Oreochromis niloticus: one gene and its partner. The protein of the gene in region 1 interacts with the protein of each later gene in a biochemical or structural test. Links are inferred from orthologs where the notes say so. Each region holds a gene or a part of one and is shown in the gene's direction. Other genes may lie near its edges.

Region 1 (6,922 bases):
GCTATCCTACCCTGGAACACCACCAAGCCATTGGTTCAGATATGTGGATGACACCTGGGTGAAAATCAAATCTCAGGACGTACCACATTTCACGGATCACATTAACTCGACGGACCGACACATCAAATTCACCAGGGAGGATATGAAAAGTGGCAGGTTAGCCTTCATAGACTGTGAGATTTCCTTCACTAATGGGGGACATCTAAAAGCTGATGTGTACCGTAAACCTACACATATGGATCAGTATTTAAGGTTTGACTCTCATCCAATGTCATTATATACTCTCTATTGTTCTATTATACTGCCTTACATGACATACTGTGTGGAAGTGTGGGGAAACATGTATAAAACACACACCCATCCAATATACATTCTGCAAAAAAGAGCAATAAGGATAATAAATAAAACTACTTCAAGAGAACCATCAAATCCACTTTTTATCAAATTAAATATTCTCAAATTTAAAGATTTGGTCGACCTCAGAACTGTGCAAACAATGTACAAAGCAGCAAAGAAATCTTTGCCCCACAACATTCAGAACTTGTTCCAAATAAGACCAAATACTCCTGACCTGAGAGAAATCCTTATGTTCAGCAAGCCAGTAGTAAGGACAAATGTAAACTATCACAGCATTACAGTCAGAGGAGTTAGTGTGTGGAACACCTGTACAGGTGAGATCAAGAAAAGTACATCAATACAAAATCTCACACGCCTGTTCAAAAATAATAAATCGCAATGAATATAGGAAATCTTCCTCTCAGTGACTGAGTCGTCTCATTGTCTCCTCATTTTTATAGATCAAGGCCAGAGTAACCCAGGCTTAAGTGTTCATTAATAGATATCAAATAAGATCAGAGATTAAGCGGGTGTTAAACACAGGGTGCTTAGTTTATGTAAACATGTAGTTTGTTGTTGTTGTGGTTTACGTGCTGAAAATGGTTTTATTTGTGTATGTTCAGTTTGTTAGACTTGTAAATAGTTAAATATATCTGATCAAATAATGTTGAATCCTTGATATGGATTTGTAAGCAATGAAATTCTATCTATCTATCTATCTATCTATCTATCTATCTATCTATCTATCTATCTATCTATCTATCTATCCACTGGAGCATAAACTGGGTGTCATCAGGACGCTACAACACAGAGCGAACACCATCCCCACAGACACAGCGGCCAGGGAGGCAGAAGAACATCACATCAAGAAGGCCCTGAGTAAATGTGGTTATCCCAGCTGGACTTTTGTCAAAGCTGGGAAGGCACCTAAAGAAAGCTCCAGCCGATCCAGGAGAGAAGGACAACCGCTGCCTAAGTGAAAACCTGTAGTGATCCCATATGTGTCAGGAGTATCGGAACAGTTGAGACGCATTTTTTCTAAACACCGGGTCTCTGTGGCTTTCAAACCCCAAAACACGCTGCGCCAAAAACTGGTCCACCCCAAGGATCGGGTCCCCCGACACAAACAGAGTAACATAGTGTACGCTGTTAAGTGCCAGGAGGATTGCCAGGATTTATACATCGGGGAAACCAAACAACCTCTAGCGAAGCGGATGGCACAACACAGCAGAGCCACCTCATCAGGCCAGGACTCTGCAGTCTATTTACACCTACAGGCCAGTGGACACTCTTTCAACGATGAGGATGTACACATCCTGGACAGGGAGGAACGCTGGTTTGAGGGCGGAGTCAAGGAGGCCATTTACGTGAAAAGGGAAAGACCATCTGTGAATGGAGGAGGGGGCCTAAGGGTCCATCTGTCACCATCTTACAATGCTGTGATTGCAGCCATTCCCCAACTCTCTGTGAATTCTTGAATGTGCTGTCTTTTCACCCCCTTGTCCACATCCTCTGTGTGGGTCTGGCATATCAGTGGCCCTGGTACTGACCTCCCAGTCCATTGTTCATCAGTGGTGCTAGTTTCAGTCAATAACCAAATGTACTGTTGGGGAAACCTGCAGTCAGCTGAGAGTGAAGAGTCACCTGGATGAGTGATGAAACGTTTCTCCCACTGAAAACTCTTCATCCAGATGAACAGCTGCAGTCTTTCACCCTCATTTTTCAAGTATATTTACTAACAAACACTCATAAAGCAGACACTCACATACTGTCTCTCACTCTCTCTGTCTCTCACTCACATATTTGTTTGCGTACCTGCTTTATTTTGTCTTTCTGTCCTGTTTCTTTTTTTGTTCCTCTGCTTTCTTCTCCTGTCTGGCTCCAATCTAGCCTTCACCCCCATCTGCTCCAGCATCCACACAGATAGTAATATGAATAATAAGATTAAACAGGAACATTCACAAAAGGAGCCTGCAGAGAGTCTGAGGTGCTCCTCTTGGGAAAGCAATGGGTTTGGCACAACAAAGCCTTCAGATTAGGATTCTGCTTGCTACAACTGCTGGGCAACAAGAAATAAATCCATTTAAAAAATGATTGCATATTTAAAGAAGTTACCTCAAACATAGTACACAAACCTAACCTGAGGTCATCAATGAAAAACAGGTATATTGTAACTGACTTAGAAATTGGCAGGAAGTTAGCTCGCTAGTTTCCATCTGAAGAGGATATACCATGTTCAGACATCACAGACTAAAACAGCTCTGCTATCACTTCAGACATAAATAAAGACAGAGTGTTTGAAGGGTTAGTGAAGTCTGGCTAGCTGACATATAATGGTGTGCTACCTGGTGGTGCTAACATGGTGTAATGAAGACGGAGGAATAATGGTAACTAATAATAATGAAAGTAAATGTGAGGGTCCCTGAATGGATGATTGCAGTCACACGGAAAACAAAACGTGAATCGGACCATTCAAGATAACGCCTGAGACAATCCTCAACACGAGGCTAGTCATTAATATGGTGCTGCATGCTTTGGATGACTCCGTTTGACCACTGAAATCTTAGCCTCAGAGTACGACAGCAGCTTGACTCTTTTCTTTTCAGCTGTGCTTGGGATCATTGTCCTGTTACATGACCCAATTAGAGCCAAGCTTTAACTGTCAGACAGATGGACTCACATTTGACAGATGGTCCACAGTTCATGCTTCACTCAGTGATTGAAAGGTGCCCAAATCACCACACCTCCACCACTGTGCTTCACAGTTTGTGCTGATATTTAAAAGTGGTCCTCTGCACTCTGCCAGACGTCTTCACTTTGGTATCGTCTATCTGAAGGATATTGTTGTGTTTTGTTGTTCATTTTGCAGCTTTGCAAAGCTAAGCTGTGCTACCACACTGACTTTAGAGAGAAGAGGCTTTCGCCTGGCAACCCTTCCAACAAGTCGTATGTTTTCAGGTCTTTTTTCTAATTGTACTGACATGAAATGTAACATTTGAGATGCAACACAGGCCACCTATCGCCTTAATTCCCCAAAATCCCAATGATTTTTAACATGGTTGTATGTTAAATATATATGTGAGAGTGTGCTGTTTGAGCAGAATATTGAAAGCCCAGGTCCACCAGTGCACTAAACGGGGTGAAAAACAAAGGTTACAATGTTAGAGAGATGTCCATGAGTGGGGCATCATAGCAGCCAAGATGAATAAGCGCAGTAACGTATACAGTACGGCTGGTTTCATTTGAACTTGGAGACAGCCAGAGGCAGCATTTACCAAACTATCCCGGCTCTAAAGGTAAAGAAAGTGGAAACACCGAACAGCATACTAACATTTGCTAATTGCTGCCTCATGTTGTAACAAGTTCAAGTTGGGAGAGCGCAGTTTGACAGACCATAGTATTATTATTAATACTATAGAGTGATCACGTGATGTGATGGCCAACACATCACAACACGTAGTGGGGAGACCACGGGGGGAGGAGCTGGGCGCAAAAGAACCACCTCAACAAATCTGGACGTGACTCCACCCTCCGTGTGCAGTGGGGAGTGGAGCAGCCGAGTGACAGTTCAGCCCGAGCCCAAACCATCCGTGACTGGCTCAGCAGGCTGAAGTTTGACTTTGTCTCTGTGTTTTTTGCCTCAGTGTTCCCGGAGAAGATATCGGGACTTCTGAAGTTTGGAGCCGCTTTTCTTCAGGAAGCTTTGCGCCACTTTATTCCTGCACACAGGCGCTCCGTGAAGCGGGTCTTTCATCTCTCTTTAAAAAAGAAAAGAAGAAAAAACCCGCTCAAAACACGGAGGATCGTTGGAGCTGGAAGTGGAAGCCTCGGAGGAACACAGTGTAGCCCACAGGTACTGTAGCTCTGCGTTATCTTTGCACTGACTCACACCGTGAGTACACGTTTAGAGACGTGGACGGTAACACAGCAGTGACTGAGCCTTTGCGAGTTTGTCGCTTTCACAGAATAGGGACACGCTGGAAAACAGCGAGCATCAGCAGTATCGTGACTGGCTGCACAGCTCCGGACCGTCTGAGCGCTTCACTTTATTACGCATTATACGGACAGCTGCGAACTAAATAAGTCACTTTATTGAAGACTTTCAAATTCTAACTATCAACCATAACTAACCAATCTGACCAGCAACATTTTCATTAGAAAAAGTTTTGTGTTAATGCATAAATATTATTATTATTGTTGGTAGTAGTAGATACATGTAGATAACAGCAGAAGGTTAAACTATAACCTCAACAACAACACCGTGTGTGTGTGTGTGTGTGTGTGTGTCTGTGTGTGTGTGTGTGTGTGTGGTGTTGTTTTTCTTCTTCTTGAACTTATAATTTAAAAGCAAAAAGCGTGAATGTCTCTTTGATGTGTTTACTGACCGTCAGTCTGTCAGACACACCGAGTGATTCCTTAAAGTGCTCATAGAGAGCGTGCTCAGGAACTCTGCTCTCTCAGCTCCATTCACTGTTGCTTTCAAGCTCTTTTGGCTCCAGTTTTAAAATGACCTCATTAAGAAGTAATGTGATTTCTTTTCAGTGGAGAGACTGCCATCCAACATTCACAGCCTACCACCCTCACGAACCACACAAGTAATACTTAGCTGAGCAGAGCATGTGAAATATGTACAGTATGATTATGAACATGTTGTATACGAAACCATCCAAACGTATTTCACTGCTACATGTCACATGTCTCTGATGTGTCACTGATGTATGAGAGGACACATCGTGGGCTTCACTGGAAAAAACTAAACAAATAATCTGAAATACCTGGTCCTGGTACTAATACTGCAGTTTTAGATATTATGGATGTTTTTCCCACGTTCCAAATTAGAGTGGCTTTGTGTGCATCTGTATGTAAAACGCCTCGAGGCAGCTGTAGTTGCTGTGAATTGAAGTTGAACTGCGTCGTAACAGAGGTCGAAAGTAACAAAATACAAGTACTTGTAACTGTACATAAAATTTTCTGTTATTTTTATTGTTAACCTTTATTTATCCAGATCAAAGTTTCCAAGAGGGCAGCACATAAAGACAATATAACAAATGCAGTATTCCACACAGACACAGGAATAGTATGCAACAGCAGTCACACTAACCAGAGGAGCTTTTCTCTCGCTCATATAAATACAACTAAAGTCCCACATTGTAACTATTTCTGACCGTTTCAGTTTATTCTGTGGATTATTCCAGAAACACAGACAGTATATTTAAATGTTGTTGTTTTTTAATTGTGTTCTGACTCAGGGGACAAACATTTGTGTAATGTTGGGAGAGTGTGGGCTAGACTGGACCTGGTTTTTACACACAGATAAGAAGGAACCGGGCCAAGGAGGGACACCGAGATTTACCAAGAAACTGTGTATGCATGCTGTGGATATGTGCTGTCTGTGGACATGTGCTGTCTGTGGTCATGTGCTGTCTGTGGACATGTGCTGTCTGTGGACATGTGCTGTCTGTGGACATGTGCTGTCTGTGGTCATGTGCGGTCTGTGGACATGTGCTGTCTGTGGTCATGTGCTGTCTGTGGACATGTGCTGTCTGTGGTCATGTGCTGTCTGTGGACATGTGCTGTCTGTGGACATGTGCGGTCTGTGGTCATGTGCGGTCTGTGGACATGTGCGGTCTGTGGTCATGTGCTGTCTGTGGTCATGTGCTGTCTGTGGACATGTGCTGTCTGTGGACATGTGCGGTCTGTGGACATGTGCGGTCTGTGGTCATGTGCTGTCTGTGGTCATGTGCGGTCTGTGGTCATGTGCGGTCTGTGGACATGTGCGGTCTGTGGTCATGTGCTGTCTGTGGACATGTGCTGTCTGTGGACATGTGCGGTCTGTGGTCATGTGCGGTCTGTGGTCATGTGCTGTCTGTGGACATGTGCGGTCTGTGGTCATGTGCTGTCTGTGGACATGTGCGGTCTGTGGTCATGTGCGGTCTGTGGTCATGTGCGGTCTGTGGTCATGTGCTGTCTGTGGACATGTGCTGTCTGTGGACATGTGCGGTCTGTGGTCATGTGCTGTCTGTGGACATGTGCGGTCTGTGGTCATGTGCGGTCTGTGGACATGTGCGGTCTGTGGTCATGTGCGGTCTGTGGTCATGTGCGGTCTGTGGTCATGTGCTCTCTGTGGACATGTGCGGTCTGTGGACATGTGCGGTCTGTGGTCATGTGCTGTCTGTGGACATGTGCGGTCTGTGGACATGTGCGGTCTGTGGTCATGTGCGGTCTGTGGTCATGTGCTGTCTGTGGACATGTGCGGTCTGTGGTCATGTGCGGTCTGTGGACATGTGCGGTCTGTGGTCATGTGCTGTCTGTGGTCATGTGCTGTCTGTGGACATGTGCGGTCTGTGGTCATGTGCGGTCTGTGGTCATGTGCTGTCTGTGGACATGTGCGGTCTGTGGTCATGTGCGGTCTGTGGACATGTGCGGTCTGTGGTCATGTGCTGTCTGTGGTCATGTGCTGTCTGTGGACATGTGCTGTCTGTGGTCATGTGCGGTCTGTGGACATGTGCGGTCTGTGGACATGTGCGGTCTGTGGTCATGTGCGGTCTGTGGACATGTGCTGTCTGTGGACATGTGCTGTCTGTGG
Region 2 (6,945 bases), on another chromosome or scaffold:
TTTAACCACTGACAGTGGCTTCAAAAGTTTGTCAATCCCCATAAACACTCAAAAACTTTACAGCTGACACAAAAAGCCATTTTGATTTCGATGGATATTTCTCCTTTTCATAAAAAAGCACATATGAGGTATACCAGCACATCATAAGGCTGACAAGTGTGTCAGCACCAGCAGTTGTAGCTGGTCATTGTCTTTTAGGCTGCACGTTTATGAATCAGAGTCACTGAACTGAACCTCTCAGCCATGTTTGTAGTGTTGGTGCCTTTTGGAATCGTGGAATTATGTGGAAAATAACATTGTTTATTGTGCAGTTTAACCTAACCAAGAAGTTTGTGCGAAATTCTAGTATTTTATTAGTTTGTCATATAGCACTAATTACTGCTGTAATATTATTATTGCGCTGCCTTTTTCTAACATATGCACCTATACAGATCACTCAGTTCAAGTGAATTTCATTTATATGGTGCCATTTGGCAACAGTCAAGGCGATTTATAAGATAAATACCTTATGATAGAGGGCTTGCTGCCATCTGCTTCAGGGTGAGGGGAAAGAGAAAAATAATTAAAGAGGAAGAAAAAAAAAGCTTTAGCCTCCCAAATTAAGCTAGCTAAACAATATTTCTGCGATTGGCTGAAAAAAAGTGCAAGAATTTTTCTACTCAATTACTCGTTTTTTTGGATCTCCGGGTTGCCAGCAAGGTTTTAAAAAAGTCAAAACTTCTGCGTTTCTGCTGTCCAGGCTGCCACACATTTTCATTCCACAGGCCATGTGGATGCTAGCCATGCTAAGGTTTTGTGCTAAGGTTTAGCACAAAACTTTAGCACAGACCTCAACCTCACTGAACTCTTGTGGAATCAGCTTGGGCGTGATGTTCATGCTAGAGTGACCAACACATCCACATTGGCTGACTTGTCATGACATTGGCGACAAATACTGATTGAAGACTGGGATCTCATCCCACAGCAGTGTGTGACAAAGCTGGTAACCAGTGAGGAGCAGGTGCCAGGCTTTTGTGGCCCTGTGTGGTTCTTCAACATACTACTGTGCCGTTTGTTAAATGCCATTTTATTTCAATCATCCAATCCAACAAACCACACCAAACAAGAGTCAATATTAGAATAAGCGGGTTTTCAAGTGAAGCTCTTCTCTCACGTGCATCTTTCTTTAGTTTGTGCCACTTAGCATCTCCAACACCACACTATTAACCCATCCACTCACACATCCTCACTACTAATAAATCTGACTTTTTCTTTGTTTTTTGTTGCTTTCATGTTTTTGAGGTATTTCAAGTATTTTTTTGACCTTTTCCCTGCATCTCACTCTTTTTCGCCACGGTTTCTGAGCCAGGTCGAGACAGTTTAAACAAACAGCTTATTAAAAATGTTTCCTGACTCTGACTGAAAGCTGCTTTTGATATTCCTCTGATCACAGCGCTCTGTTTTTACACTCCAGCTCACACAGGTGTATGAAGTTTGGCTAATTAGACTTCTCCCCAGGAAAACGTAGCCATGCAAAACAACTGCACCGGCAAACGAGGAGCTTATTGATATGAGACAGCTCTCTGCAATTCACTTGCCTTTTAGAGATGCTCTCTTCTTGTTTTCCAATACTGTGAGTGAACGATCCCTTCAGTATTAACTATTGGCATTTTAAAGCTGGCTTATTAACACACCTCAGTTTACATTTGAGACAAACGCTTGCTGTATAAAATCTAATACAGGAGAATATATTTTAAGAGCACTATGGACAAAGGTTTATTCTAGAAATGATGCAATCATGCAGAATCCATGGGAGCCATAGTGGTTTATTATGCTTTCACAAAAGACTTTGTCGTTAATGATTAGGTCAAAGGACCAAACCACGGAAAACATGGAAAACAATGGAAAGAAACTCCATCCATTTTAGTCTCTCTCTGAAACTTTGAAGGATTTTTAAAAATGTATTATTTGTTAATTAATTAATTATTTTATTTATTAGGTCTGTGACCTACACAATGTGGGGCAAGTGGTTTTAATACAGTTAGAAAGCCAGTTTATTTTCTCTTAAATGGTCCCACTTAATCAGCCATGTACCACAGATCTGCAAGCTGGCAGTAGTTAAACCATTACTTAACAAGTCATCTCTTGACACAGCGGTCTTAGCTAATTTTAGGCCAATCTCCAACCTTCCTTTAATATCAAAAAAATGATTTGAAGAGTTTCAGTCAGGTTTCAGAGCTCATCACAGCACAGAAACAGCTTTAGTTAAGGTTACAAATGATCTTCTTATGGCCTCTGACAGTGGACTCATCTCTGTGCTTGTCCTGCTAGACCTCAGTGCTGCGTTCGATACTGTCGACCATAAGATCCTATTACATTGATTAGAACACGTTGTAGGTATTACAGGTACTGTGCTGCAGTGGTTTGTATCATATCTATCTAATAGACTCCAATTTGTTAATGTAAATGGAGAGTCCTCTTCACATGCTGAGGTTAATTATGGAGTTCCACAGGGTTCGGTGCTAGGACCAATTCTGTTTACATTATACATGCTTCCCTTAGGCAGCATCATTAGAAGACATAGTATACATTTTCACTGCTATGCAGATGACACGCAGCTCTATCTATCCATGAAGCCAGGTAACACACACCAATTAGTTAAACTGCAGGAATGTCTTAAAGACATAAAGACCTGATGACCTCTAACTTTCTGCTTCTAAATCCAGATCAAACTGAGGTTATTGTACTCGGCCCTGAAAATCTTAGAAATATGGTATCTAACCAGATTCTTACTCTGGATGGCATCACCTTGGCCTCCAGTAACACTGTGAGGAACCTTGGTGTGATTTTTGACCAGGACATGTCCTTTAATGCACATATTTAAAAAATATGTAGGACTGTTTTCTTCTTTGTGCAACATCTCTAAAATTAGAAATATCCTGTCTCAGAGTGACGCTGAAAAACTTGTTCATGTATTTATTACTTCTAGGCTGGACTACTGTAATTCATTATTATCAGGATGTCCTAAAAACTCCCTGAAAAGACTTCAATTAATCCAAAATGCTGCAGCAAGAGTCCTGACAGGGACTAGAAAGAGAGAGCAGATTTCTCCTGTTTTGGCTTCCCTTCATTGGCTTCCTGTTAAATCCAGAATTGAATTCAAATCCTGCTCCTCACATACAAGGTCTTAATAATCAGGCCCCATCTTATCTGACCTTGTAGTACTTCGGCTTCCTTGTTGTTCCTACAATGGTATTTGTGTAACCAACTGAACAATATGAATGTACAATTTTACAGCTTAGGGAACCAAAATATACTTTATAAACACTTACTTTGTTGTGCTGTAGCTTTTACCATCTATAATTTAATCATCTTTCCAATTTTTCTATAACCAAGGCAGCATTGACCTTGTTGTTTGCCACTGGAAGTTCTTAAGTTATGGAAAATATGTTTTGTACTTGGTTTTATTCCTGTTAAGCAACTTTAATGAAAACAGTTAAAGTTTTCTACAGTTGCAGCTTGTTTGGACTAATAACTTTCAGGCTTCAAGGTGCCAGTGGATAGATTGTTTAAAGACATTTATAGAAGTGCATAGAAAAATAAAAGCCAGTGTGAAATACATGGCAGTCTCTAGGGCTGTTTTCTACCGCCAAAATAGCTAACTCTTTAAATCAAGACACAAATGCGTAATGCTGAAGTGTCTTCGGTATCTCGTGCCTATTTAACAGAAAAAATTGTGACCTTTTCTAGAGAAGTATACTGTTAAAAGATAAAAGTGCCTGCAGTAACATAAGTGAGACATACTTGTCTCTTCCAGCTGCTGCTGCCTTTCCGTGGTACTTATCATCTCCATGTTGTAGTTCCTCTCATCACCAGTGGGTGTCGCTGCGGACTCTGGTACCCAAGCCGTCTGTCCGTCTGTCTGGCAAGGATAGGGTGATGTTGTATTGTGAACTGAGAGAGAGGGAGAGAGAGAGAGAGAGAGCACCTCTGCCGCTCTCCTTGCCTTCTCTCCTGTGCGCAGTGCTCCGGCCCGGCCGCTCCTTCCTTCCTTCCTCATTTCCTCCCCACAGCTGGCTGTCTCCTCTCTCGGATGCTGGTTGTGCCTTCTCCCTTCGCACTACCGCCGAGCAGGACCAAATACTTCGGAGGGGTGGAATGACTGACTACCTGTTTTGCATGGTCTGAATTTCGGGAAATTCGCACGTCGGAAAGGAGGGGAGTCAAGAGGGAAAAAGGAGGCTCTCCATCCTCCCCGAGGGAATTTATTTTACAGTAAGCAGGCGCAATGTCATTCCAGTTTCCTCTTTCCGCTCGTCTCACACCTCCCATTTGTGCAAATGCCTAGAATTTTTTTTGTTTTGTTGCTAGAGCATGACAGCGTGCTGGGAATATGGCTGCATGTTGTATTAATGTGTGTGTGTCGAAGTGTGTGCCAGATGTTTTTTTGCTGTTTTTTTTTTGTGTCAGTTTATTCCGAGGCGTGGTGTGGATCGCGCGCGTGTGTGTGTGTCTGTTTTGCTTTTGGCATGATGCGATAAAGGGCTGTGGTGCGCTTCCATTGATCGTGGAGTGAAAATGGAACCCCTATATTTCAGCTTCACTCGCCGTCCATCCATCCGAGGCCGGGGAGTGTGGGGGTCGGAGGATGGAAGGAGGAGGGAGGGGGTTGGCTGATGTGAAAACAGTATTAGGCTACTTTCAGACTGACCTAAATATGAGCGATGTTCGCGTGATTATCACGGGTGTCAGCGGCACATCGTGCGCCGGCTGCACCGTCTTTGTGTTGTCTTTGCAGAGCGATGCTTGTGGACGCTCCGTATTGTAGTTTCCCTCAGCCATCACTGAGGCATGTGGACGGATGAAGAGCACCTTGCTGCCTGCGTGCTCCATGTTGATCACTAAAAGCACCACTACCACCACCACCACCACCACAGTGTGTTTTCTCGATCAGCCCCAGGCTGTTTCTCCAGCTCTCAACTGTGGAGTAATTAATGTCATTCATCAAGTTGCCAAAAAAATAAATAAATAAAATAAATCAGTGTGTTTCACCAGCTAACATCATAATGTTTGCTCCTGTCAGTTGTCTGTGGATTTCTGCTCTATGACCTGGCAGAAAGCGGGGCCTCCCACTGCCGGCTGAATTAGCCCCCACACAGCCTACCAGTACATCTCCAGCCACCATGGGCTGCATGGCCGTTTAAGATGCCTAATCTAGGGCTAATTCCTGTGTTTTCTCTTATGGACTGTAGGGCTTCCGCTCACTGATCCCCCTTGAAACTGAAAAGCTGGCTAGCCTCAATAAGAAGTTTAATGTGATGGACATTAGGGGGTTAACCAGCAGAGCAGATTATATAGGACAGAGAAATGTAACTTGTTGTCAGCAGGCTTTTATCATTTTGGCAGTCATTGGTTCATGATGAGGAAGTGAGATATTGAGAAGGAAGGTGAAGGGGAAAAAAATCAGCATTAGTTAGTAACAGTTATGTTTCCTGTTGGTGAACTATTCATCATGACACCAGACGAATGGAAAGGCTGACATTGTTGGCACTTGTACCAAGTGAAGTTATTTAGCCAATGTTTCTGGTAATGTTAACATGTTAATGACTGTAAACCAGAGGAGTTACTATGTCGCCTTTGAGTTACATTTGGATGATTTGAGAACAGCAATAATGTTACTTTTTTCTAAATAGGGACCGTAAAGGGTGTGGCAAAAAATACATGACAAAAATACAATTACATCATCATGGTAAATGGACTGATTCTTATATAGTGCTTTTCTACTCTCTCTCTACTCAAGTACTTTAAAGGGAAAAAACTTTGTTCGGAAACCATTTTTGGTTTGGAAAAGAAGTGCATTTTCTGATGACCTGTTACCGCTGGGTGGGCCCAGTCCACCAGTACACAAGTCCATTCTAATGATAACAGTTTTCTAACCGTAACCAGAAGCCACAACTAATAATTAGTAAACTTCAAATAGTTGAAAGACTGGAAAAGAGGGGAAACTGCTAGCTGGGTTATGCAAATCTAACATGATCTGCCTCACCTGCGCACTCAAAACCCTTAAGTTAGCCTTTTAAAAAACTGAGGTTTAAGCAGCATTTTGGGGGAAATTTTTTAATGGCCAGCTGCAGTGACTATTGGGGTCAATTCAGTTTTAGTTATACAGCACCGAATCACAACAACAGTTGCCTCAAGGAACTTTTAATTGTAAGGTAAAGACCCTATAAAAACAAAGAGAAATCCCATTAAGCAGTTGATTCCCCTATGACCAAACACTTGGCAACAGTGGGAAGGAAAAATTCCCTTTTAACAGGAAGAAACCTCAAGCACTTTTATTTTGAAAGTTCTCTTGCTGTGAAGTACTTCCTCCCTATGCTCTGACCTACTCCATCCAACCTTCCAACTTCTTAGACTACAGCTGGTGTCTAAGAAGTTCTTATCTGAGTTCATACTGTAGTAGTTATTTAGTGGTTTTTAATCAAAGCTACAGAGAACAAGGATTAATATCGAGAGCTGCAGTCTGTAATGGTGGAGTGCAAGGTCATCTGCAGAACGAGAGACTTGCTAAAGATTATATTGCTTATGTATTGACTGTCAGAAAGTAGAAAAATTGTCCTGCACCTTGCATCTCCTGCAAGAGTACAACCTGGCCAGGTCACCAGCTGCAGGGAGCCAAGATGATAAAAAGTTCCATTTCAAACATCTAGCAGCATTTCATACTGATCTCATGACCCCTCAGGGGGTCCCAACATCCAGGTTTGGAACCAGTGACTTACCAGAAGTGACCTCGTAAAGCTTTATAGATATCATTATCATGTTGCAGCTCTGGTATGAGCATGATTACAGTTTCAGCTCCTTGTCTCCAGTATTCATTTGGTCCGGCAGAGTGCTCACACAAACAGCTTGTGTTTACTGACTGCTACAAGCCAGATTTAACACTCACAGGTGAACCTGCCAGCCACT

Evidence for each region. The genes of interacting proteins can lie anywhere in the genome.
Region 2: the proteins of pdzd2 (region 1) and ctnnd2b form a complex in vitro, tested with the Homo sapiens proteins (2 studies listed by BioGRID and IntAct, with this or other methods). The link is inferred for Oreochromis niloticus from reciprocal best matches to the Homo sapiens genes PDZD2 and CTNND2.

The regions. Positions count from the first base shown.
Region 1 is NC_031977.2:406,800-413,721, reverse strand, and holds the start of pdzd2 (PDZ domain-containing protein 2), read left to right. Parts: upstream 1-3,884; 5' UTR 3,885-4,189; intron 4,190-6,922.
Region 2 is NC_031982.2:5,581,834-5,588,778, reverse strand, and holds the start of ctnnd2b (catenin delta-2b), read left to right. Parts: upstream 1-3,936; 5' UTR 3,937-4,254; intron 4,255-6,945. UniProt on the Homo sapiens protein: Has a critical role in neuronal development, particularly in the formation and/or maintenance of dendritic spines and synapses. Involved in the regulation of Wnt signaling.